Arabidopsis thaliana: one gene and its partners. The protein of the gene in region 1 interacts with the protein of each later gene in a pairwise test. Each region holds a gene or a part of one and is shown on either strand. Other genes may lie near its edges. The genes, in order: MYB49, AT5G43520, MGDC and AT1G10585.

Evidence for each region.
Region 2: the proteins of MYB49 (region 1) and AT5G43520 interact in a two-hybrid assay, tested with the Arabidopsis thaliana proteins (one large-scale study listed by BioGRID).
Region 3: the proteins of MYB49 (region 1) and MGDC interact in a two-hybrid assay, tested with the Arabidopsis thaliana proteins (one large-scale study listed by BioGRID).
Region 4: the proteins of MYB49 (region 1) and AT1G10585 interact in a two-hybrid assay, tested with the Arabidopsis thaliana proteins (one large-scale study listed by BioGRID).

The regions. Positions count from the first base shown.
Region 1 is NC_003076.8:22,014,978-22,021,302, reverse strand, and holds MYB49 (myb domain protein 49), read left to right. Parts: upstream 1-3,241; 5' UTR 3,242-3,457; coding exon 3,458-3,590; intron 3,591-3,787; coding exon 3,788-3,917; intron 3,918-4,249; coding exon 4,250-4,946; 3' UTR 4,947-5,160; downstream 5,161-6,325.
Region 2 is NC_003076.8:17,483,937-17,489,486, forward strand, and holds AT5G43520 (Cysteine/Histidine-rich C1 domain family protein), read right to left. Parts: upstream 2,374-5,550; 5' UTR 2,256-2,373; coding exon 1,503-2,255; 3' UTR 1,295-1,502; downstream 1-1,294. Other genes in the region: LURE1.4 (Putative membrane lipoprotein), read left to right, coding at 498-546, 642-865; LURE1.5 (Putative membrane lipoprotein), read left to right, coding at 4,213-4,261, 4,357-4,580; AT5G43530 (Helicase protein with RING/U-box domain-containing protein), read left to right, coding at 5,391-5,550.
Region 3 is NC_003071.7:4,740,524-4,748,551, reverse strand, and holds MGDC (monogalactosyldiacylglycerol synthase type C), read right to left. Parts: upstream 5,391-8,028; 5' UTR 5,165-5,390; coding exon 4,847-5,164; intron 4,286-4,846; exon of another isoform or gene 4,230-4,285; coding exon 4,057-4,229; intron 3,962-4,056; coding exon 3,800-3,961; intron 2,979-3,799; coding exon 2,837-2,978; intron 2,746-2,836; coding exon 2,521-2,745; intron 2,437-2,520; coding exon 2,374-2,436; coding exon of another isoform or gene 2,338-2,373; exon of another isoform or gene 2,334-2,337; coding exon of another isoform or gene 2,328-2,333; exon of another isoform or gene 2,308-2,327; coding exon 2,233-2,307; intron 2,159-2,232; coding exon 1,919-2,158; 3' UTR 1,742-1,918; downstream 1-1,741. UniProt on the Arabidopsis thaliana protein: Involved in the synthesis of monogalactosyldiacylglycerol, the major structural component of photosynthetic membranes and in the chloroplast envelope biogenesis.
Region 4 is NC_003070.9:3,492,038-3,497,978, forward strand, and holds AT1G10585 (basic helix-loop-helix (bHLH) DNA-binding superfamily protein), read right to left. Parts: upstream 3,208-5,941; 5' UTR 3,068-3,207; coding exon 2,930-3,067; intron 2,648-2,929; exon of another isoform or gene 2,619-2,647; coding exon of another isoform or gene 2,577-2,618; coding exon 2,259-2,576; intron 2,168-2,258; coding exon 2,078-2,167; 3' UTR 1,733-2,077; downstream 1-1,732. Other genes in the region: AT1G10580 (Transducin/WD40 repeat-like superfamily protein), read right to left, coding at 1-1,628; AT1G10586 (basic helix-loop-helix (bHLH) DNA-binding superfamily protein), read right to left, coding at 5,094-5,162, 5,301-5,618.

The DNA of each region.
Region 1 (6,325 bases):
ATTAATGTCAGTGACATGACATTGTAAATAAGTTCAAATACAAAATTTATTTATTTAAACAAAAAACGTTAAGTAAGAATAATATTTATTTAACAAAAAATTTTGTTTTAAAATATTGTTAACAAATATGTTTATGCTAATTTTAAGGGATTGATTTGAAGTTTGGTGGGATTAAATTTGATTGATAATGTGATTGACAATTTAAATCAAAAATTTAAAGTAAAATTAATTATTTTAGAAAAAAGATTTAATGCTAATGGCATTAGATTGTAAATAAATCAAAGTCTAGGATTTATTTGCTAAAATGGCTGCAAAAATGTATATATAGATGACTCGTTCAATTAATTTGGATATGGTGTCTCTCTATAGTCTGTGGTCTATAGTCTATAGTCTCTAGACTATTTTGTTTGTTTGTTGAATATATGCCAAGAAAGATAAAGAAAACAAAGCATAGGATTTGTGACAAAAAAAAAAAAAATAAAAAAAAAATAAAAAAAAAAAAAAAAATAAGCATAGGATATAACATCAATAAAGGGGCAGAAATCAAAAGACAACAATTTTTTTTTTTTTAAAGAGTCAAAAAACCAGTACACATAATTGGACATTTATGACAAAATTGTTTTGGGACATTTATAACTACTAATAGTTTTTGCTAAGGTATTCGTATTATGAGGTTAAACTAAAATAAAGATGATGTTACTGATTTTTTTTTTTTAATTAATCCTAACTTTGATTTTAAGATAAGTTAAAAAATATGCTATATATCCGAATATGAGAAAAATCCAAGAGAATAATTAGTTTACTATGCTGCTGGCAATTTTTTTTTAGTTTACTATGTTGCTAGTGCTTGCTACCACACTTGTACGTGTTCAAGGCGTCGTGGATATATTATACACCATGAAATCTAAGGTTAGGTGTTTTTTGCTAAATCGTTACGTCATTGTTTCTTAAAAATAAGAATTAAAGGTTAAGTTACGTCTGTTTATTTTGTGTGTGTTTGTTTATAATTTGTTTATATAAAAGAAATTGGAAAGATAAATGAGCAAGGTGATTTCGATCATTAGTTTCAGTCCATGTCTTTGTCTCTATGGTCGGCCATCGGCCTTAGAGGCGTGAAAGTCTTAAACAATAATAGAACTTCATTCGGAAAAAAGAAAAAATAACCCTTAATATTTAAATGTAATTTAGATCATACAGTATAAATAACTTCTTATACCAAACTAAAATGAAGATGGTAGCTGATTAACGAATTTACATGCGGAAGACTTAAATAATCGATAGATTAGTTTATGAAAAGACTTGCATAATCGATAGATTAGTTTATGAAAAGACTTACATAATCGATAGATTAGTTTATGAAAAGACTTGCATAATTGGTAGATGCAAAGTTATAAGAAAACTGATAAATCTGAAACGAGGCTTGAGTTCATCAAAATTTCCTGTGACAGCGATTATTTTAATGTTACTAAGACGATTGGGTTGTTGGGATTGTTGTAGATAAACCAGGCAATAACATAATCTACCAATAACAATGTATTGTATTTCCTTTTAGTTGAGAAATTAAATATTTGACCACATTATCTGAATTTTCTTGTCGTCTTAATAACTAATTATCATTATTCATTTTTGGCAGGATCTTTTTTTCTTTGTTAAAGGGTCTACTTTTTTTTTTGATAAAGCAGTCTTTTATTTTTAAAACATGCATCACAAAATTTACCTTCATGAATCAATTCCCTGTGAGACAATGATATGATTTAAAGTTTACATGTAAAATATTCTATACCGTGGAAAAACACTCATTTCATTGTTATATAACGAAAAATATGAATTATATGGACGCAAAATAACTATTTACTAGATATATCGATGTTATAGAAATAATATTATATTAAAAAAAACGATATATACGGTTTAGTGTTAGTGTAAGTTTATATTTTTGGCACTTGTTGAAAACGTTATGATAACTTGTTTATTATCAACCTAACATGTTTTATACGGCTATACCGCATAAAGTGTAGAATTAATTTTACCTCTTTATATGACACAATAATATTTAACATGTAACAAGAGCAAGGGGTTACTTGTCAAATACGCCTATGCACTAAACAATGATAAATTGGTCATTCTCCTAATTTAAAAAGTCACTTTATCATTCTTCTCTAATACCAAACCTTTCTATATAATCACTCTTAAACCGGCCGATAACTTGTTTTCCAAATAATCTAAAACTTATACTAACCAAATTTAACTAAAATAGTAATAATTTCTTACAAATATCAAATCAAAAAATTTCAAATCCCTGACTTGTCAAATCAACCATGTTTCGGACTGAGACCAAAGTCTCTGCAATTCAATGACACATGTATATTATATAGTATTGTTTCATTAATCACACATGTATTTTGACCGTTAACATGCCTTGTTCTTTACGTATGTTGCACTGCAACAACGCTTTGTCGTTAATTTACCTAACTTAGTAAAAACAAAATACATGTCTTAGATTATCAGTTATTCAAACTTGTCGTTATGTAATTGTTATTGAAGTAAACAGAAACTCTGGTGCGATGCAGGACGTTACTCAAACTGAGTCACTTCGATCGGATGTCTTAATTCAAGCAGGACAATCTAGCTTTGCTACTGAAATTTGATGACACGATGATATATATCTATTTCCAACCGATGAAGCACACTGGAGATCCGTTTGGATTTTTATTGTTTTTACTTTTTTACACTATCGTAATCATTCTTTACATATTTCCTTTTTATTTTCTCCTTAGAAGAGAAATTATTTGTATACAAAACTTAGAAGGCTAAATAAGCATATTTATTCAGTATAATCACTGTAACCACACCTTATTCAATAAAATTCTTATTTTGAATCTGTCTATTTATGTATATGATATTGCTATAGTGATGACAGATGAGTAAACATTAAACATACACGCAACATAGCTATCTTGAAAACTGTTTGATGATTTGAGACAAAGAGACCAAAACAAATGGAACCTTCTTCACATATCTATCACACGTCCTCATACACCACCCATATTCTGCCATGTGTTCTCACTCCATCAATATTAATTATTTTTAGGGTTAATAGAGATGGTTTAGTCTCATGCTTTTTGTTTATTACTTTTTTTCTTTGGTCAGAGCTTTTTGTTTGTTAGTAAGGACTTTAAAGATAGAGAGTAAAAATTACTCTTTTGTTTTGTCAACATAATAAGCAGTTTTTTTCTACTTCATTTTGTCTCCGTATTTCATCAAGAAAAGACACGTATTTAGATAGATGATGGAAGGGCGGTACCAAATCTCCTTGACTTGACTTTGCATGTACCATATATATATTTGTATATACATAAATCATAATTCATGAAGAAACCAAATTTTCTCTGTAATCAAGTTCTCAAAGCTTATTAGCTTCTCTCTCTAGTTCTCTCACATATAACATTTGAAAAAGATGGGAAAATCTTCAAGCTCGGAGGAAAGTGAAGTGAAGAAAGGGCCATGGACTCCGGAGGAAGACGAGAAGCTCGTAGGCTATATTCAAACGCACGGTCCCGGCAAATGGCGTACCCTTCCCAAGAACGCCGGTAAATTCCTACCCTAACGCATGTATATATACAAATAGCTAAATCCTATCAGCTACAATATGTTTTCCTGCGTTTTGTTTTACGTTTATGTTTAAAATTTACTAATAATGATTATCATGCTAGATCATGTCAACGTTAGAATTAAAATTAAAACAATCATGGTTCTTATTCGTTTTTCTTGGTGTGAATCTTAAAAGGGTTAAAAAGATGCGGGAAGAGTTGTAGATTGCGATGGACGAATTATCTAAGACCCGATATCAAGAGAGGAGAGTTCTCTCTTCAAGAGGAAGAAACCATCATTCAACTTCATCGTCTTCTTGGAAACAAGTTAGTCTATCTGCAATTTTTCATTTCTTCATTTAGTGTATAATTGTTTACATGTATGATTAAATTAAGTAAAAAATGACCTAGTTTTCCACTACTACACCTACTTCATTGGACTTCCATGTCTTTACATTTTTGTTATAATATTACTTGCATATTTTATTTTATTCAACTAAAAGACAAGAACATAGTTAAGCACTATACCAAGGTCAAATGTCTAAAGCTAAGCATGCAATCTTCAACTCGCTGCAGCTAATATCTTAACAAGTTAAAACTTATACTTCTCTTTTTGATTTTAACTTAAAATCTATAACACGATATTTTTTCTTCTATAGATGGTCCGCAATTGCTATTCACTTACCAGGAAGAACAGATAATGAAATCAAAAACTATTGGAACACACATATTAAAAAGAAACTCTTACGAATGGGGATTGATCCGGTGACTCATTGTCCCCGCATTAATCTTCTCCAGCTCTCTTCGTTTCTTACCTCATCATTGTTTAAATCTATGTCACAACCGATGAATACTCCATTTGATCTCACTACTTCAAATATTAATCCTGATATCTTGAATCATCTCACTGCCTCTCTCAACAACGTTCAGACCGAATCATACCAACCAAACCAACAGCTTCAAAACGACCTAAACACTGACCAAACCACTTTCACCGGTTTGCTCAACTCAACACCACCCGTTCAATGGCAAAACAATGGAGAATACTTGGGAGATTATCACAGTTATACCGGTACAGGTGATCCATCTAATAACAAAGTCCCTCAAGCCGGAAACTACTCATCAGCCGCATTTGTATCCGACCACATTAATGATGGTGAGAATTTTAAGGCCGGATGGAATTTCAGTTCATCAATGCTAGCGGGAACTTCATCGAGCAGCTCGACACCGTTGAATTCGTCTTCGACTTTTTATGTCAATGGTGGAAGCGAAGATGATAGAGAGAGTTTTGGTAGCGACATGTTGATGTTTCATCATCATCATGATCATAATAATAATGCTTTGAATCTATCATAATGTCTTATTTATTTTGCTTCTTGATCTTATTTGTTTTATTTTTACTTTTTTTTAATGGGGGTTTGTAATTGTGTTACATACTTTGTAATATAAGAGCTTAGTCTATTATTATGTTGACTCTTTTTTTTTTTTTTGTTCTACTTTTTTTGATCCGAAAAGGTTTCTATTTGTTTACACTTAAAAAAGTTATAAAACCTAAGAGGATAACAGCTAGTGTACCTTTATCTTGACTTTGTTCTTCTACTAATTGTTTTTTCTGCTTCGAAGAACTTTACATTAGTCGACTCTCAAAAGGTCATAAGATGGTTGATAAGTGTGTTACGTACATACTTAGTATTTTAAGAGTTAAGTGTATTCTTAATCTTGGATTTCTTGTGCATTTTCTTCCACTAATTGTTCTTATTTTCCAATTCGAAGAACTTTCCATTCGTTATACCTAAAAGGTCTTCAACTTGTACGAAAATTTTCTGGTGTTATAGTTTTATTATTCTATTTGCACCATCTTGATTTTGATGATTAAGAACACATTTGGTGGAGCAGGAGACAATAGTGATTATATTTAATTGGTCATAGACTCATAAAGGGGAGTTTTCAATTTCATAATACAAGAAAAAAGAAATAATCGACTTGTTTTCCCTTATGATTGGTTTGAAATCAGCACAAATAAATAGTAATACACCTAAAAGGAAGATTTAAATAGTTATCCACTATGAGAAAATGTGTATGAAAGATTAAAATAGAAAATATATAGTCAACGTTGTTCGAAACACCAAACCCAAGTTATAAAACTGTTCATACAGTGAGATGAGATATATCAAAAATAGCTACTATCAACTATAACATAAATTAAGTAGTAGCTAGATGCTACTTTGAAATTCTGTAATTGACTGAATGACACTTATGTATGTGTATAGAGACATACACATCATAGTATTTTATAAATATGTGGTCCATTCTAGTCTCTTGGATTATTGGAAAAAAAAATACATACGCCTAACCATTCATTGAACCTTGCGGCCATAAAAATACAATAAAATCATGCAATGATATGAAATAAATAAATTATATACTTGTACTTATAGATATTGTATGAGAAAAAATGTGTATATTACTGGGGAGAGAATTTATAAGTAATAATTAGTTAGTTTTTACAACAACAATTTTGGAAAACAAAGAGAATTCCATAGGGAACACAAGAACCTCCTTTGTATTTCTTCATCACACAAATCTCTCTGCACGCTATTAAGTCTATTTGTAGTTACATGACATGGTCGTTTGGCCATACGAGTCATAACTAATTAACTATTAACTCATAGTTATTTCCATTATTTTCGTTTTTTTTTTAACTATACAAGCCAATTGACCATTATTGTGTAGTC
Region 2 (5,550 bases), 4.5 Mb from region 1:
AGATATAGAAGTGTAGGATTCATTGCGATATTTCTTAGTGCTTGGTTTGGGGTTTAGTATATATATAATATAGAAATTATTGATCTTTTCAATCAAATTCTATTATATATAAGTATTAGTTCCTCGAATTAAGTATTTTAAATAAAATGTGGGTATCAATAGTAATTTTTAAAATCTAAAGTTTTAAACCGGTAATTGTATGCACTTATTAGATATATATTATTATTTATACCAATATATAAGATATTTTAATAACTAAATAATTATAATTTAAACATAAAAACAAACGAAATAAGTTACTGAACTTTCCTTTATAACAAAATAAAACGTTTAAATGAAATTAACTCTTTTATAACATATTTATCTACTGAGTCTATAAATATGACTAAATATTGTTTAAATAATCCACAGCAAAACAAAATAAAAACGAAATCCAAAACGATTCACAAAAACATTTCATATTTTTTTTTGTGATATTGGTTAATTTCTACCAAAAAATGAAGTGTCCTTCTATATTCTTAACTCTATTAATTTTTGTTTCTTCATGTAAGTCTAAATTATTTAATTAGGATAATGTGTCAGTATTATAATCATTACAAAAACTGTTTAAAAATTTGATATATCTTTTGAAAATTTGATAGGTACATCAATACTTATAAATGAATCTAGTGATGAACAGAGAATATATTCTTTCAGTCCAACAACAAGTCCTTTTGATCCACGCTCACTGAACCAAGAACTTAAAATTGGGAGAATTGGTTACTGTTTTGATTGCGCAAGAGCTTGTATGAGACGGGGTAAGTATATTCGTACATGTAGTTTTGAAAGAAAACTTTGTCGTTGCAGTATTAGTGATATTAAATAAGGCATTGTAACTTTGTTAAACATTAATAATAATAAAAAATATTGCTGTTTAATGTTCATCCATGTCCTTCTTTTTACAATAATGAACATGTATAATAATCTAACAGTTTTGTAGTGTGCATTAAACATGAAATTTATTGGGAAACATAAGTCCTTGACAAATAAAAAAATATTTTTGAAAAATTAAACTTATTCATTATAATCAAGGAAACTGTTAGTTTTTTTCTAAACATTTTACATTTAAACAAATTTATTTTGCTCATCTATACTGTAAATCTATTTTATTATATAAAATACGGGTTTGAAAGTTTTTTAAAGGGTCAAAGTTTTTAATCACCGTCACATCTCTAGATAAATAAGGTTCCAATATGTTTGATTATGTTACATATTTACCTAAACCTCTTCCGAGTTACGATAGAGAAAATGAAAGAAAACAAATCTTCAAATCAACTTAAATTTTTTCTTCTTCTTCATATTGCAAAATAAACAACTTACACACGAGTGTTTATGATTAAATCCACACAAATAAACAAGAACCAAACAAGAAAGAGTAATATATCTATTGTTTCTTTATTTTTGGAAACCATATTTCGCAAAGAAAAATATCAATATTCATAAATATATTCGTCCCTTCTTGATCACCAATAGTATCTACGTTTTGGTTCATCCCACAGATCAAGTGCAGCATTCCTCGCATCATTCTCAATACGTGCCTCTAGCTGCATAGCCGCCATCTCGTCTTGCGCCTTCATCAACGACTTTATCCTAGAAGCTGGAGAACTCGCTTCTCCTTCTTCGTCTTCATCTTCTTCTTCTTTCCCTTGGTCTTCATATGCCGCACATGAGTGTAGATGTGTTCCATAGTCACAATCCTTACAGTAATACATCCATAGATCTTCTGAAATAGTTTCATCACAAGCGCTGCAAGTGAAGTACGTGTCTTCACGTCCTTTACACGGTGTGCAATAAAGAAGAGTGAGTGGATGTTCATGATCTTCACGATCTACGGTTTCAGGGATAAACGCACATCCCACATGAAGACTGTAGTTGCAGTTTGAGCAATGGTAAGAAAATCCAGATCCGTATTGGTCACACGCGTCACACGTGTAGACAGACCGATCATCTGGTGGGGAATGAAGCAAGGTCAGAGGGTGGTCCTGGTGAGACTTGTTATTGGTCTCACTAGGAAGGTCGAAACATGACTTGTGTAAGAAGTAATCGCACTCTGACTTTATACATTTGAAAGCTTGCCCGGTCAGCTCTAGCTCGCAGCCAGAGCATGCGGTCTCATCCTCTTCTTTGGCTTTAAAGACACGCAGCGGATGGTTGTGACTTGGGTGCCTCACAGATTGGCGATTAACCGGTTTGGCCTTTGGTTTTCTTGAAGCCATTTAGTATGTTATTGATTTGTGTTTGGTTTTGGTTGTTTTGAGGGAGAAGGGTGTGGAACTTTATATACCAAAAACTGCAAGAGGACTTCATTATAATTGTAGGTTTAATGAGTATGCGTTTCGTTTTATTGATTATATTAATCAAGTTGTCATTGTATTATGCTATTTCGCTAATTATAAGGTTTGACATCTGTATAGGAGACTTTGACATTTGGGATTCAAAGTTTAGGAAATAAAAGTATTTAGACGCGCTTTGGTGTTTATTATTCTAAGATTAAGATAACTTGTAGAAATAAATATTCTAATTAACATCCGAGTTTTATAGCAACTAGGGCATATCCGCATAATATATATATGTGTGTGTGTAGAGAGGATAAGGTTTAATGAGGTCAACGTCTCTAAGTCTATGCTAATTATTATCTAATTTATCTTGTGCAACTTCCATTTGATAAGGTTAATTGGTTTAATATAGTTTTGAGTAATATATTGTCGGTTGTCTCCCCTCTTCTCACCAAAAAAAAAGGTTAATTGGTTAACCATAGTTTTAAGTCTTAAAACAAACGAAAACTTCTGTACAGATCAATTCCCTACCAAAAAAAAGAAAGCAACAAGAAAACAACATGCATAGATCAAATAATGTGAATATAAACATTCAAGTGGTGCTTCAAGTGATGATGTAGTGAGTATTCTATATAAACTACATGCAAGCATCATTATTTATTTATATTTTTCTTAAAACTGTATCCAGTTCAATCAAGGGAAATTAAGAAATGCTAATATATATGCAAGATCTAAATTTCAAATATGGTTGGAAATTTGATCATGTATTGGAATATTATTAAAAACTTTGACGGTTTAAAGATAGTGTCATCCCCGTTAGAAAAGTTTCAAATCTATGCAGTTTCAGGTATATATCTTTAAAAGTCGAAAAATTCTTTTTCTGATTTCGTTATACAAGAGTCTCCAAGTTTATCATCATTTATTACTAATTTAGATATTGAAGATGCTGCACAAAAAGTAAAAAAAATTGATTAATACTTAAGGGTTTTTGTCACTTAAATCTCTTAGTTAAGGGTTTTTTCATTAATAATATAGCTGAGGGCTTTAAAATGGATTTATCGATACTTGAGGGGTTTTTTTCGTTTAAATCTCAAAAACTTGTTTTTTTCTTTTTTTTTTGGTAAAACAATCTCAAAAACTTAATACCAAATCTTATTAATAATCAGGTTACAACTTAAAAGACTTTTGTTTATAAGACTTTGAAGAATAATTTGTTTCTATAGATAAAAACTGAAAGGTGTTTGTTCAAAAAAAAAAATGAAATAAGGTGATTTAAAGATTTTCTTATTAATAAATAATTTAAGCAATTTATAACTAAAAGATATACATATGTAGAAAGAGTTTGGATTGATTCGAGGCATATAAGAATTTAATTGATTTGGTCATCTTTAAGATCATAAGTATTAATAAGGAATCCAAAAGTGATTTAAGATTTTGTTAGAAAAGCAAGATAGGCATCATGAGTTAGTATATATATAATATAGAACTTTTTGATATTTTTAATCAAATTATATTATATATTTATTAGTTCCTCGAATTAAATATTTTAAATAAAATGTGGGCATCAATAGTAATTTTTGAAATCTAAAGTTTTAAACATGTAATTGTTTGCACTTATTAGATGTATATTACTATTTATACCAATATATAACAGATTTTAATAACTAAAAAATTATAATTTTAAAACAAAAACAAACGTAATATGTTACTAAATTTTACTTTATAACAAAATAAAACGTTTAACTGAAAATTAACTCTTTATATAACATATTTATCTACAGAGTCTATAAATATGACTAAATATTGCTTTAATACTCCAGAGCAAAACAAAAGAAAAACGATTCACAATAATATTTAATATATTTTCTTTGTGATATTGGTTAATTTCTACCAAGAAATGAAGTTGCCTATTATATTCTTAACTCTATTAATTTTTGTTTCTTCATGTAAGTTTAAATTATTTAATTAGGATAATGTGTCAGTATTATAATCATTACAAAAACTGTTTAAGAATTTGATATATCTTTTGAAAATTTGATAGGTACATCAGTACTTATAAATGGATCTAGTGATGAAGAGAGAACATATTCTTTCAGTCCAAGAGCAAGTCCTTTTGATCCACGCTCACTGAACCAAGAACTTAAAATTGGGAGAATTGGTTACTGTTTTGATTGCGCAAGAGCTTGTATGAGACGGGGTAAGTATATTCGTACATGTAGTTTTGAAAGAAAACTTTGTCGTTACAGTATTAGTGATATTAAATAAGGTATTGTAATTTTGTTAAACATTAATAAAAAACAAATTATATTACTGCTTAATGTTCATCCATGCCCTTCTTTTTACAATAATGAACATGTATAATAATCTAAAAATTTTATAGTGTGCACTTAACATAAAATTTATCTGGAAACATAAGTCATTGAAAAATTAAAAAAATGTTGAAGATGACATAATTGGCGCGGATCCTCATTTGTAATGACCAGTTAGAGTAAAAGAATCCAAACCTAAAATACAAATCAATAATCAAATATTGGATGTTATACAAGCTATGGAGCAATTAAAGAAGGCAACACGAATAAAATATTTGGGTCGAATCCAGTCCTTTGGATTGAGAAAACTGAAGCGAATTAACCGAAAACTCAGAAATCTAAAAACATTAACTGAATTTCAACAAAAAAAAAAAAAGAAAAAGGTGTTGGTAGATTTTATTTTTATTTAAAAATAGCAGATATCCGAACCAAATAATTTTTTATCATAATTTCGGTAAGATTTTTGAAAAAGCAAAAAAATCGATTAACCAAATTCGCTTACCTAATTTTAAGGTTTGCAAAAGGAAATACTCTAAATATCCTGCAAAGAGGCAAAATTTTACACATAAATTTGGTAAATTAACGGCGAGATTTACAGTAATTTCGGCTCCAAAAAACACCCCGCCAATTTTATTACCAAACCCATTCACTTCAATTCGCGCCAAAACTAGAATCCCAAAAGACCAATTCCTATTTAAAACCCCTACGCCCCCCACTCTCATCCTCCATTTTCGCCTCTCTCTTCCCTCTCCTCCTTTCTTCCCAAATGGCCATTGTTGATGACGCAGAGATGCGGTTAACCGAATCCGAAGCTGTTTCGAGTTCCGATGATCGTAAGATCGTTGCAGATACTCCCGATTTTATAGACGAATCCTCTCTAGTCATCAGAACAACCACTGGAGTCCGAATCTCAGCTCTACCGGCGG
Region 3 (8,028 bases), on another chromosome or scaffold:
ACATCTTATCGATGATTTTTGAATTCAAAATAGTATCTTGCTCTCTTTTTCATTTTTAATTTATTATTTTAATTTAAAAAAATTTCCAATCTTACACATTCCATTTGCAATACAATTTAACTATCTATTTAATCATTATAAACTGGATTTTGATTCTACGGACTTCATCTTAATGAATAAATGCTAAAAATATTATATCAAAATAGTGTTATATGATTTTGATTTACGGTTTTGGCGGAAAAACGTCGGTTTACGGTTTTGGGGAGAAAACGTCGGTTTACGGTTTTGGGGAGAAAACGTCGGTTTACGGTTTTGGGGAGAAAACGTCGATTTTCAGGTTTTGGCAAGAAAACGTAGGTTTTCCGGTTTTGACGAGAAATCGCTGGTTTACGGTTTTGGCGGGAAAACATAGGTTTACGGTTTTGGCGGGAAAACATGATTTTCAATTTTGGTGGAAAACACTTTTTGTGATTTCGGCAGGAAAACAATTTTTGTGATTTTGGCGGGAAAACAATTTTTGTGATTTTGGCGGGAAAATGTGGTTACGGTTTTGGTGGGAAAACGTCGGTTTACGGTTTCGGCGGGAAAACATGATTTTCAATTTTGGTGGAAAACACTTTTTGTGATTTTAGTATGAAAACAACTTTTGTGATTTTGGGGGAAAAACGTCGGTTTATGATTTTGACGAGAAAACGTGATTTGAATATTTAAACCAAAAAGTGAAGTTAAGTAGAATAATTTAGTTTTAATGTATTAACACATTAACATTTTTAATAAGGTTTACTAATATAAAATGAAAAAGTAAATGGACTTAATTGGGTACCCATTTATTTGTGTGAAACCCCATTTAATAAATGGGTTTAGTTGGGTTAACTCATTTAATCCTATTTAATTTTTTTCTAAATGAGTTTAAATGGGTCAATTTCTCTTACACAAACCCATTAATTAAATGAGGTTTGCATACCCATATTAACATCACTAGTTATATCATATTGTATCAGAGTTAACAAAAAGAAAAAAACATTATATCTTAGTTAATAATAAATGAGTTAACAAATTACTAAAATAAAAATCCACAAACTAACAAAAAATCTTTACCATTAGTATGACGTTAAATCAACTGTGGTCTTTTTGAAGAGTATTTTGGTTTGGTGAAAAAGTAGGAGACTACCTATTATTTTTATAGATATGAGTATTTTGAATCGTTTTTCTTTTAGGATTAATAATTGATTGTAGTTTCCATAATTATGGTATTTTATATAACAAGATTGTATAATTTCTTAAATCCTTTTTAAATTTTGTAGGAAAAAGTAATCAATTTTGATTAAGAATTAGTAGCTTCAATTAGAATTAGTAAATGATTTTTTAATTTCTATTTTTAATTTAATAAGATACATATATTTTTTTAAAACTTATCATATTTACTTCTCTAAAATGTTTTAGTTTCCTTATACTTATTTTAAAATATATAATTTCTTACAATTGTCTTTTTATAGTCTTAAACTTAATAAAAGAAAATTTTGTTTTACACGTGTTAAAATCTGAGATCGATAAAATTTGCACATAGCATAATCAATTACTAACTTTGAAAACCGTACTTTATATAATAAGTTAGTTTCCTTGTAATTATCTTCTTACATTTTGAAAACTGTTTAAATTTATAATTTACAATTATCTTTTTGTTTTTTAAATTTAATAAAACAAATTTTTTTTATTTATATATGTCAAAATCTGAGATCGATGAAGTTGACACGTGTTACAATCATATGAGTTACTAACATTGAAAACCATATTTTATATAATAAAATACATAAATAAATGTTGAAAAAGACTGATAAAAGAATGACAAACCACTAGAGAATATACATTAATAAGAATCATGAAATAAGAGAAACCTATAGTCTAAACAAACAACACTTCAATAGGAAAATTCATTAAAAAGTGGAATACGTTGTTGTTGTTGGGATAGATGATGGATATCCTTCACAATGTCGAACACGGCTTCAGGTTGCGACAACTTTAGAGCATTCTCTGACATTTTCTTTAATTCCTCTTTATTGTTGCTAAACCAATCCGCCACGATTTTCGCAGTTTCTTTGGGACTTCGGGTGAAAACTCCAGCCCCATTGTCCACAACATACGGCACGTTGCCTTTTTCCTTTGGGAGTCACATACAATAGAGTTAGTTTATGTGGCCGATTAATCCCTAAGGTGAAGCAAAAAAATGTATACCTGTCCAGGAATATAGTCATTGAGGATAATTGGGAGGCCGCAAATCAGTGCTTCCGCAATCGTACCCGGACCAGCCTGTTTTATGTCATAAAATCTTAGTGCTATTTATATGAATGGGTAGGATTCAAAGATATGACTTACCTTAGTGATGATACAATCACAAGCTCCCATCCATTTTTCCATTTGTGTTTCAAACCCTCGAACCTATAAACGTCACAAGTATATATTAGTTACTTGGTATATAAGTATATAGTAGAAGTAAAAAAAAAATTATATTTTAGTTTGTACCTTGACCGGAATCTTCCATTCATGAGATGCTAATGTAGAAGCAAGGACTTTGTTCCGGCCGCATATGACAATCAATTGTCCTATTGGATTACTTTCTTTAGAGTTGTATAAAGAATCTCCAAGGGCTAGAGCTGTTTTTTGAACCGGACCCATTCCTTCACCCCCTCCCATTAATAGAACCGCAGGTAAATTTAAGTCTATTTCAAGTTCCTTCCTTAGTTCATTCTAACAAACACACATAATAATAGCTATTGTTGATCTTCTCTTGATTGGGAAAAAAAAGATCTCTAAATGGTATGAATTGGACAGAATTTACCTTGTTGAGAATAGTGCGAGGGAAAGATGGGCGGACAGGTAAGCCAAAGACACGGATTTGAGAGTCATCAAGGCCGTCTACTAATGCTCTCTTTGCAACCTCTTTGGACGGACAATAACATCTGCTGACTCCATGATGGAACCTATTACATCAAAATCGAAGATTTCATTTTGAGCTATTAGGTTAATTTCAATGTTTTAAACCCTGACCCGGACAGTGAACCGGATTTTCTTCTGGATCACCGATTAATGGGGTTAACCGAATTAGACCACAGGTCAATTGAATAAAATTTATTGAATATATTTAATATTAATAGAGATTATATAAAATAAAACAAAAATAATTATCTTATGTTTAACAAAATATGAAATCAAACAGTAACAATCAAAGTTTTCAATTTAACTAAAAGTCTAAAAGACTAAAACCGTAACAAATATAGTAGGAGATCATTAATGACGAAAATAAATTAATAAACATTGCGAATTAAAACAACTAATCTCGGTTTCAGTCACTTTAGGCGGAATTGTGAAGACTTCACCAAAATATAAAAAAATCAAATGAGTTTAAAAAGTGAATTTTTTTTCTAAAAATAGCTGAATAGAGTCTAAAATGCTATATTTTATTCAAAAATCGAATATATTTTTTAAAACTCACACACGGCCAGTTCAACCGGTTCACTGGGTCGCGGGTTAATGGCGATTTTTTGTGGATTTTTCCGGGTTTAAAATTGTTGGCTATAGTACTAAACCTAAACCGAAAAAGTGTTTGGGTTGCTGATTAACCGTTCGAACCGAACGGTTTGGGTCGGACGTGAAAACACTGGTTAATTTTAAATATTATTGCATATAATCTATATTTTATTAAATGAAAAGTCATGAGAGTAAACATGCAGGATTAATATGCTAACGCGTGGATTAAACTGATTTTAAGTACTTAGTATATATAGAAGTAATGTCATCTTACCATGTACGGTGGCAAGTGTTTAGATCAGTGATGACCGTAACGAAAATAACTTTCTTGTGAAGTCCTTGCCATTTCATTACCCACAATGGTATGTGTTGCATCAGAGGATGCACGCTAATAATAATGTCCGGTTTGTACTCCATTAAACCGGCCTCTATTTCTCTGTTCACCAAAAGAAGAAATAATCTCCATTATATTGCTAATTCGTAACACTAAGGGATGATAACGAAAAAAGAAGAAGGTTAACATATAAGTACTTGGCATAATAAGCGGCAAGAGCACTTAGATAGCTTTTGTGGATCCATTTGGGAGAAGTACCATGAAACGCAACAGACCAAAGACCAACATGTTTCACCATGAACTTGTACTGTCTCTCCATGTCGTTCAATGGCCATCCAGTGTATTCTTTCCAAACATCTTTTATGATTATCTATAGTTATAAAAAAAATGACATTAGTTCCTAGAGAGAATATTGTAACATCAAAGAGTCAGAGCTAGAGAAATAAATAATGCAAATTTTTAATCATTATTGACAAACAAAATAAATGGAACGTGGGACAGGTTTTAAGACATAGATTGTTGACGTCAGCTCGTATCTCCGACACCCTGGCAAACTCCAAGATTCATACTAGGCTACAAAACTTCCAAGTAGATATTTGTTTCTTTTCGTTTTCAAATTCAAGACGACTACTGCGACAACTTTAATATTGACGGCTGAGATTTCATTAGAATCAGAAACTCCTCTATGATATATTATAACATAATCTATTGGAAAATTTTGTCATAATATAAATACATATTATTCGAGGTATATATTTACAAGCTTTGAAATTTTCAAAATGAATATTTCAAAATATTGTTGTTGTTTTACACAGAAACTAAAAGATAAAAGTATGATTAAGTTTTGTTGCTTATGCAATATTTTTTCGTTTTTTTGTACGTTATATATATGGTTAAGGAAGCATATTATTGGCTCAACCCTATGCGTTGGATTCAAGGCAAAGAGAATGAAAATGAAGATATAAATAAAAATATTAATATTTTTACCCGATAGTCATCTCCGAATTCGATCTTGAAAGCGTCGCGGATGGCCTCGGCTGAAGCACGGTGGCCACCGCCGGTATCACTCATGAGAATAAGAACAGTTTTGATCCTCTCTGCTCCCATCTGCTCCATCTCCATAACTTCTTCTTTGTCTTCTAACCCTCTCTTCCTTAGACGACTCTCCTTCTCATAATCACTTGATCTCTGACGATGGATATACTCATCTTCTACTGTTGAGATGTTAAAATTGCTATAGACTCGTCGAAACACCTTCTCAGTGATTGAATCCGACCGTGTACGAGGTGACACCACTTTCATCATGACTATTTGGTGTTGAAGAAAGAATAATAAGAAGACCGATGGTTGTGTTTTCTATGTGGCTGGTTGGTGATCTTTATGTAAAAGATTTTAAGTTCTTTTGGGGTTTTAAATTTTTTGTAGCAAAAAAAATGGAAGACCAAGTTGCTTCTTTTAATAATTGTTTTTAAATTACTTGAGGAATGATGCTGGAATTATTCTTTTTTTTTTTTTTCGGTTCCTATAGTTTTGCTTAGGTATTTATATTTCGTGTCTTTATTGTTTTATGTGGGGCTTAATTTAGTGGTAGAGTAACAAGGGAATATGGCAGCTTGGAGCCGTCGGATCCGCCTTTGGTTTCGGAATCTTCGGATATATGATTCGGATCTTTCTTTGCATCTCAAGTATATTTAAAACAACTTGACTTTTTAAAAATTAAAAAAAAAATATGACATGGATGGTCCTTTTTGTGACATAGGTAAACCGGTTTAGAATCAAAAATTATCTGGTTTGATTAGGTTTAAATCGATTCAGTTAAATTTGAGTCCACTTTTCATATTAATTTAATACTTGATTAATTGATTCAAGTTAGTTTCGATTTTTGTTTAGTTGTTGATATGAATGTTTGTAAACAAAAATAGGTTTCAGTTCAAATGTCTACTTTTGCATCAAATGTACTCATATGGAAAAATTGTCTATTTGTCTACGAGAATTATGACATCATTAGATATTGACCCGCGGTACACAGCGAGTTGATTATTTGCGTTAGAAAGTTAATTGTTGTTTCAATTTAATATAATCTATATATAAATAACTGAGCAATAGTTTTATTTTTTCAACTTACTTGGTATATGTATTTACTTTTATTGATATAGTAGTATGTTTTTTTTACTTGGTTATGTTTAGTTAAGATAACATGTTTATTATACTTATTAGTACATAAAATGTGTATTTTATGATGCATTAGTACGTGTTTTATTATATATTTTTCTCTTTATTACAGAACATTATTAAAATTTTAATTTATTTTAAATTTGATTTTTGGTATATTACTGTAACTATCCTAAAGAAAAGAATGTTGTTTTATATGAAATAGTTGTACATTATGTTTTAAATCTGTGGTTCAATTTTCACAATTTAATTTATTTGGTATAATATAATTTGAAAATCTCATTTTATTTTTTTAGAAGTAGTAAAATCAAGAAAACTTAATACTATATGAAAAATTTATGTGCGATAAACATAATTACAAATATAAATTTAAAAAATAAATATAGTGACATTCAAAGAAATTAAGACTAATGTGGGTATAATAAGTCTATTAACTATTGGGTATTCTAAAACAATATGAAGCGGTATCAGGACATATGATAAATTTTGTAAAATCATCGATTCAGTTCGGGCATAAAGTAGATGAAGCTATAAAGGCAGAAATAAAATCGATCTTGGGTATACATAATATCGGAGGCATGGGTTCCTATCTCGGACTACCTGAGAGTTTAGGGGGATCTAAGACAAAGATCTTTTCCGTTGTTAAAGATCGATTACAGTCGAATAAATGGGTGGTCAACTAAATTCCTATCAAAAGGAGGGAAAAAAGTGATGATTAAATCAGTAGCCGCAACATTACCAACTTATGTGATGTATTGCTTTAGGCTCCCGAAAACAATTACTTCCAAACTAACAAGTGCGGTCGCAGGATTTTGGTGGAGCTCGAATGGTGAATCTAGAGGTATACACTGGATGACTTGGAACAAACTGTGTACTAGTAAATTGGGAAGTGACTAAGGTTTTCGGGATGTAGATGATTTAAACTCTGCATTATTAGCGAAACAGTTATGGCGTCTAGTTTCGTTTCCGGACTCTCTCTTTGCCAAGGTTTTTAAACGAAGATATTTTAGGAAATCCAATCCTCTGGAAAATATAAAATCATACTCTCCGTCTTATGGCTGGAGAAGTATTTGTTCAGTTAGATCTCTGGTTTGTAAAGGACTTATTAAAAAAGTCGGTTCAGGGGCTTCCATCTCCGTTTGGGAGGATTTGTGGATCCCGGCTCAAAACCCGAGACCAGCAAAAAGTAATGGTTTGTGGATGTCGGATCTTGTGCTCGACTCGACCCGCAATTTGTGGGCTTCCAGACAAGGATTGGGCCCGGCCTTAGAGCCCAATGAAAGCCCAGTGGTTCAAAAAGTTGATACGGAATTAATTTAGTAACGGCTGGATATCGACTTGAATGATAAGCATTCAAAGGCCCGAGCTGTTGATCCGCAACGTACGAAGTTAATAGGGGCGAGGTCTGCGGCGTGAAACCAGCTAATCATTTAAGTCATTTGATTCGTTGTATTAGTATAAATAAGAGTCAATTGTCATTTGTAAAGGGGACGAAAACACCTTGTACTGAAACTATACTGAAACTATACTGAAATACACAAATCCGTTTATCATTTGATCATTGTTCGACCGACAAGACTTAAGATCCTCACAAAAACAACCACAAAATTCTAATTGCGGATTCTGGCATCCACAATTTGGCGCTAGAAGGAGGGTAAGTTAAGTCTTTAACTTCAGAGCAACGATCAATTCACCATGAGCAACACCGACGGTCAGAGTTCCGGCGACTAAACCTCCACCCTCGACGACATCAAGCAGCTGCTTCAGCAGTTGTCAGAGAAAACCGACCGGCAACAGCTCGCAGTAACGACACTCTCCGATAAGTTCGTGTTTTTCTAAGAACATTGCAATGGCCAGCTCGCAGCTTTAGCAGCAAACCATTCCGAGATCAGATCAGCGCACAATGCATACGCCGAGCGGGTTGATTCTCTTTCTGCAGGAACGGCGCGGACTACTGGAGCTCGAACGCGACTCAACTTTCAGGGTGTCGCAAGCCC
Region 4 (5,941 bases), on another chromosome or scaffold:
TGACATTTAAGAGTCCTAAACACTTTGCAGCTCTTCCAGTCCCAAAACCAGCACTTACCCTCACCATCTCCTGACATTACAAACCGTCCATCTGGCGAGAAGTTAACTTGGCATGCATAACCGGCAACAATGTGCCCTGCAAACCTCTTCTTTTTATTCAGCTGAAACCTTTCTCGGGTACTGTAGATCAGAATCTGGTTATCCAAACTCTGTGCAGCAAGCCAGTTTCCATTCGGGTGAACAGAAATGGAAGGCATAGAATGCATATGAGGCTCACTGATATACTTGATAACCACCGGGATCCCAAATTCCCAAACACGGAGAGACTTATCATCGCTCGACGTGACAAATCTTCTGTTATTGTCCACAAATGTGATAGTATTAACTGCCCCCAAGTGCTGATCATACTCTTGCGTAACCTCCCCCGTATTAATATCCCACTGCACAATCTTCTTATCACTCATACCAGCCAACAAAATGTTCTGCTTGTCATCATCCGGATTCAGCTTAACCACATACGGAATCTTCCCAGTGGAGAAAGTCGATATAACTTGGCCAGTTTCCGTGTCCCAATACTTAATGTTCTTATCATACCCAGCAGTCAAGAATTTAGACCCATCATTGGAGAAGCAAATATCCCTCACAGCTTTGGCGTGACCCATGTAAGTCCTCATACATTTACCAGAGTTATACACATCCCAAATCTTAACCTTACAATCCATACCTGCAGAGAGAAGCAAATGTCCTTGCTTTGGGAAGAACCTAATAGCGGAAACACCTTTCGTGTGCCCACTCCATGTATGAACCAAACGTTTTGGAATGTAGCAATGATCATTGTTCGCCTTAGCATCTTTAGGAGCCTCAATCCAAGACCTTCCTTGATAATCTTTCTCCTCTTTGCCATGGAAGGTACTCTTATCCGCATAATGCTCTCCTTTGGTTTCACCTTGTTGTCCCTTCTCCTCCTTCTTCTTGGCATGATCCTCCGCATACTTCTTCTGCTCCTCCGTCAACTCTCCCTGAACCACCTCCTTCTTCCTCGACCACGGACTCTTCCTATTCTTCCTAAGCCAAGCTTCCGTCTCCGGATTCTCAGCTTCCGGCTCAATCTCTTCCTTTTTCTCTTCCCCTTCCCTCTCCTCTTTGCTCCTCTCAATCTTCCTCCGCTTCTGCTCACTCTGAGGAATATTAAAAACCGAAAGACCATCGTTCTTCTTAAACGCCTCAACATCGCCGACGTAGTTCATCCCAGACGGATCCGCCGCGTAACCGCACTTATGAAACGTATGGTACTGCTCTTCAAACCCAAACGATCCAATCGAAGCATCTTCCACAGAACCTAGCTTATGATTCCGCATCCCTTGAGCGATCCCGTCTTTCGCATACGGATGCGCGGGGCCGAACATCGGAGCCCACAGCTGATCATGGGTAGGGTTATAAAAGACGACGTGTTGAGTCGGGTCAATCGGCTTCGATTTCGATTGATTCACGTTAGCCACCGTGAGAGCTAGTGCCGTATCGTCTACCTCCGGCGCCGATGATTTCGCCTTTAACATACGAGGCGGTGAAGATTCCGGCGAGGAAGCAACGGCTTCGTCTTCTTCTTCGTAGGATTGAATCAGATCCATCTCTCACGATTTTGCTCTCTTACCACAAGTGTTTGAGAAACTTTATACTGAGATTTTGCCTCTTTTCTCTTCGACAAGGGTTTCAAAATTCCTAAATCTAAAATAAGGGTTGCAATTTGTGCGATATTTAGATTTTCAAATATAGCCTCTTACTATTTTTTTCTTTTCACATTTACCCCAATAGTGTATTTTATTGACATTTACATCCCACTGTCTTACTCGGTGGTTAAAATTATGCAAATCTGGACCAATCTAAAATCACGCCAAGCCAAACTGAATTAAACCGGGATGAATAAAAACGAAACGACAACGTTTTAAGGTTTCTTATGTTGACGGTCAACATATTTATCATAATCGAACTCAAAAGCAATTACTCATCTCATATTTAAAGAACTAACACATGTGTGAAAAAACACACTAGCGTTAGCGTAGACTTATCATTTGGGATTTCATGCTTCAAAATATATATATCCATAGATGATTTTCCGTACTCTCTCTTCTATCCTTGATGGATCAATGCCAATCCGACTAATGATAGCCTGCAAATATATGTAATAAAAATTTATACGAAAGACATGACACATGCATATACGTGTGTATTATACAAACATATGCGTGTGGATGTGGTACCTGGGCTATGATTGTGTAAGTGGTCCTATCATTCAAGTTCTGAAGATTAGCACTCATTACTTGAGCTCCTTCTTCTTCAAAAATACTCACAAGCTCGTGTAACATTACTCTTTTCATGTTTAGATCCATGATCAGATTCATTTCTATGGTCGAATCCCGCGAACGAATACTGAGTTTGGGTAGAAGAAACGACCCTTCGTAGAGATTCCCGAGTTCTCCTTGTAACAATGTCCTTTTCTTCTCTTTCAAATAATTTACATTCTCTTTCAATTGGATCATGTATGATGTCGCTTGATCTATAAGGTGAGGCACTGGTAACTGTTTAGATCCCAAAAAAAACCCCAAGATAATTACTTTCATTAATCTTTTACATGAATGTGGTTATATTCAATATATATAAATAAACCGTAAAAACCCTAGCTACGTGAATCATTTATTTGTCAATTAGACACCGTACTTAAAAGAGAGCTAATATGGACGGTCATAGAGGGACAACTGCCTATTCAATTAATCAAAATATTATCTCTTTAGAATAAAACGTACATCTTACAGTAATTATGTAGATAATGTTTGTATTGTTGTATATACGCATAAAACACATCTACAATTTAATATAAGATATATATAGAGAGAGAAAGAGAGAGAGGGAGAGTTAGAGAGAAAAAACGGACCTTGCGAGTGGGAGAAACATGAGAAGAAAGTATAGAGAAGAGATGTTTCATGCGCATCCTTCGATCCTTCTCTCTGAGGTTTCGTTGTTCCCTTAACGACGATGAGTTTCCTTCTCCTATTTCTCTTGCTCTCCCCATTCTTTTTGTTTTCTTTTAAGCTTTTATGTACAAGTTTCTCTTTTCAAATCCATCTCTCTTTATATACAGTTAAAGAGATAGAGAGGGCCGGGAGATACAGAGTCACAAATCTCAACTTTGAGAGAAAGAGCTACGTGATTTAGATGAAAGGGATGTTTTGGAAGAAAGTCATGGCTTTTGTGATTGCGTCCGTGAGCTTACACACTAAATTAATAAGATGCATGCATCTTTCCTACCAAGTAAATTTTACTATTTACTTCGGAATTTCCACGTTCTTAAAGATACAAAAGTTTCAAAACAATTAGATATGTTGTTTATCATTAAAAAAAAAATTAGATTTGTTGGTGGGTTGACACATTACTAGGACGCATCATAATTTCGATGTAAGATTTCTAACGTTCAAAGACATAGTTTAGATAGCATCATGCTTACCGTGTGAGATGAGATTCCTAACGTTCAGAGATATGATTCTTCTTCTTTCAGATTACTAACCATGAGTTTAAGTCCTGTGATTTACAGTAGGTTTGGAGAAAATTATTATCAAAAATCATTTCAATGGCGTAAAATAGTCAACAGCCACGGTAGACAAAAATGAATTCCTTACAACAGTACTATATATGTTTCTATCAACAAATAGAAAAGGAAAATTGTTTTGTATACTGATAGAATCGGGACCACTAAATCAAATAGTATCATCATGTTCAATTAATTTGGTGCACGTATTCATTATCCGAGGAAAGTATCATAAGGCGCCATAACCTAAGATTATTCAACAAGCTATCATTATCATAGAAGAAAAGGACACAACACATTCGGCATTCCTTACATAAATTATTAAAGGCCCTCAACTCTCTTTGGCCGTATGGCCGACATCGTTCACCGGATAGGGGATCTACATGGACCGATCGTCTAAACGTTCACCGGAGGTGAATACAAAGACAGAAAATTAAACATGCCTAGTTTTGTTGAGTCTTGGAGTACTCCAGGTAGATGTTGGTCATAACTTTGCCACTGAGCAAACTGACATAAAAAGTAAAAGGAGCCGCAATATGATACTAACACTGTGTATATATCGTCTCGCTGCTTGACCACTTGCTTAGAAACTGAGTAAGGGACAATTATATCCTTATTGCATTTTCCACATGTTATTCTTTTTTTCCTTCTTCAAATATTTGAATTCGTACAAGAAGAGAATAGTCATTTGGTAACTATCATAATTCATAGCCATTGAAAATCCGTGACTAGAAATACAGATTAGCCCAATTTTAAAATGTTAAGCCTATAATTACTTGTAACTAATTCTGTGGCTAGAAAAGGATGATTACTTATAGTTAGAAAATTTGTAGCGAAATTTTTGTTATCGATCTATATATACTGTCCAATTTATATAAGACATTTAGAAAAAAAGATTTGTTTACTAGTTATGTCGTGTATATATACATGTTTTTTAAGTTTTAGTTAACTATATTCACATACAAAATCTAACCATGTGTGATTTTAGGAGAAAACAAAGATGAATGTCCTTGCTATCGCAATATGAAAAACTCCAAAAGTGGATCCAAATGCCTATGCCCTTGAACATGTTTTGAAGATAGTCATCAGATGCATAACATCTATCTATTCTATGTATGCAAATATCAATTACGACTATTTTAGACGGCGCCTGTAATAAAATATTTGAGCTTAAAATGCTCAATGAAAGAAAATTTGAGAGTTCTTGACAATAAAAGTAGATAATATATTTTATATTTAAACATGAGATTCTATAAACGTAATAGAGATTAGGCATAGAAAGAAAAGAGAAAATAAAGAGATTTTGAAGATGATGTGAGAGGCTTTTTCGTTCATATACTTGAGGAAATGGTATTCAGACATTTGATCATTCTCTTTAACTTAAACAACAATAGGGCTATTACACCAATTCACTCTTAAAAATACTCATAATCTCATGTTTAAAGAACTAACACATTTAATTTGTTAAGAAAAGACTTGTGATTTGGGATTCAATAATGCTTCAAAAAATTAATCATGAGATTATATCCCTTAATCTCTCTTCTATCCTTGATGGATCAATCCCGATCCGACATATGATAGCCTGCAAATATTCATTTAGGTGATTATTAATTTATCATATATATATAGTCCTTCAAAAAAAGTTCAAACTATATTTTAATGATATGGAACAAAGAGATGCTGCTAAAAAAAAAAAAAAAAACATGACACATGCATGTACCTGGGCTATGATTGTATAAAAGGTCCTATCATTCAAGTTCTGAAGATTAGCACTCATCACTTGAGCTCCTTCTTCTTCAAAAACACTCACAAGCTTGTGTAACATTACTCCTTTCATGTTTAGATCCATAACCAGATTCATTTCTATGATCGAATCCAGTGAACGAATACTGAGTTTTGGCAGAAGAGACGACCCTTCAGAGCGATTTTTGACTTCTCCTCCTAACATTCTCCTTTTCATCTCATTCAAATAGTTTACCTTCTCTTTCAGTTGGATCATGTATGATACCGCTTGATCTATAAGTTGAGGCACTGGCAACTGTTGGTGCCAATAAAAACACACAACCTAGTTACTTCCATGTCTTTTGTATGAATTTGGTTATAATCGTTATATGTATTAACTAAAATGTAATATACTAGATTTTAACCCGCGGTACACCGCGGGAACAATTGTTTTTTTAAATTAGTATATATAAAAGTTCGTAAATTATATCTATCTATAAAATATATTTATTTTACAGTTTACAACTGTTATTAAGTAATGTCCTTTCAAACCCGTCCCGCCAAACCCGTCCCGTAAAAAAAAACTACAGTACATCGTTGATTTAAATATATAATTAAAATAAATATTTTACGGGATTA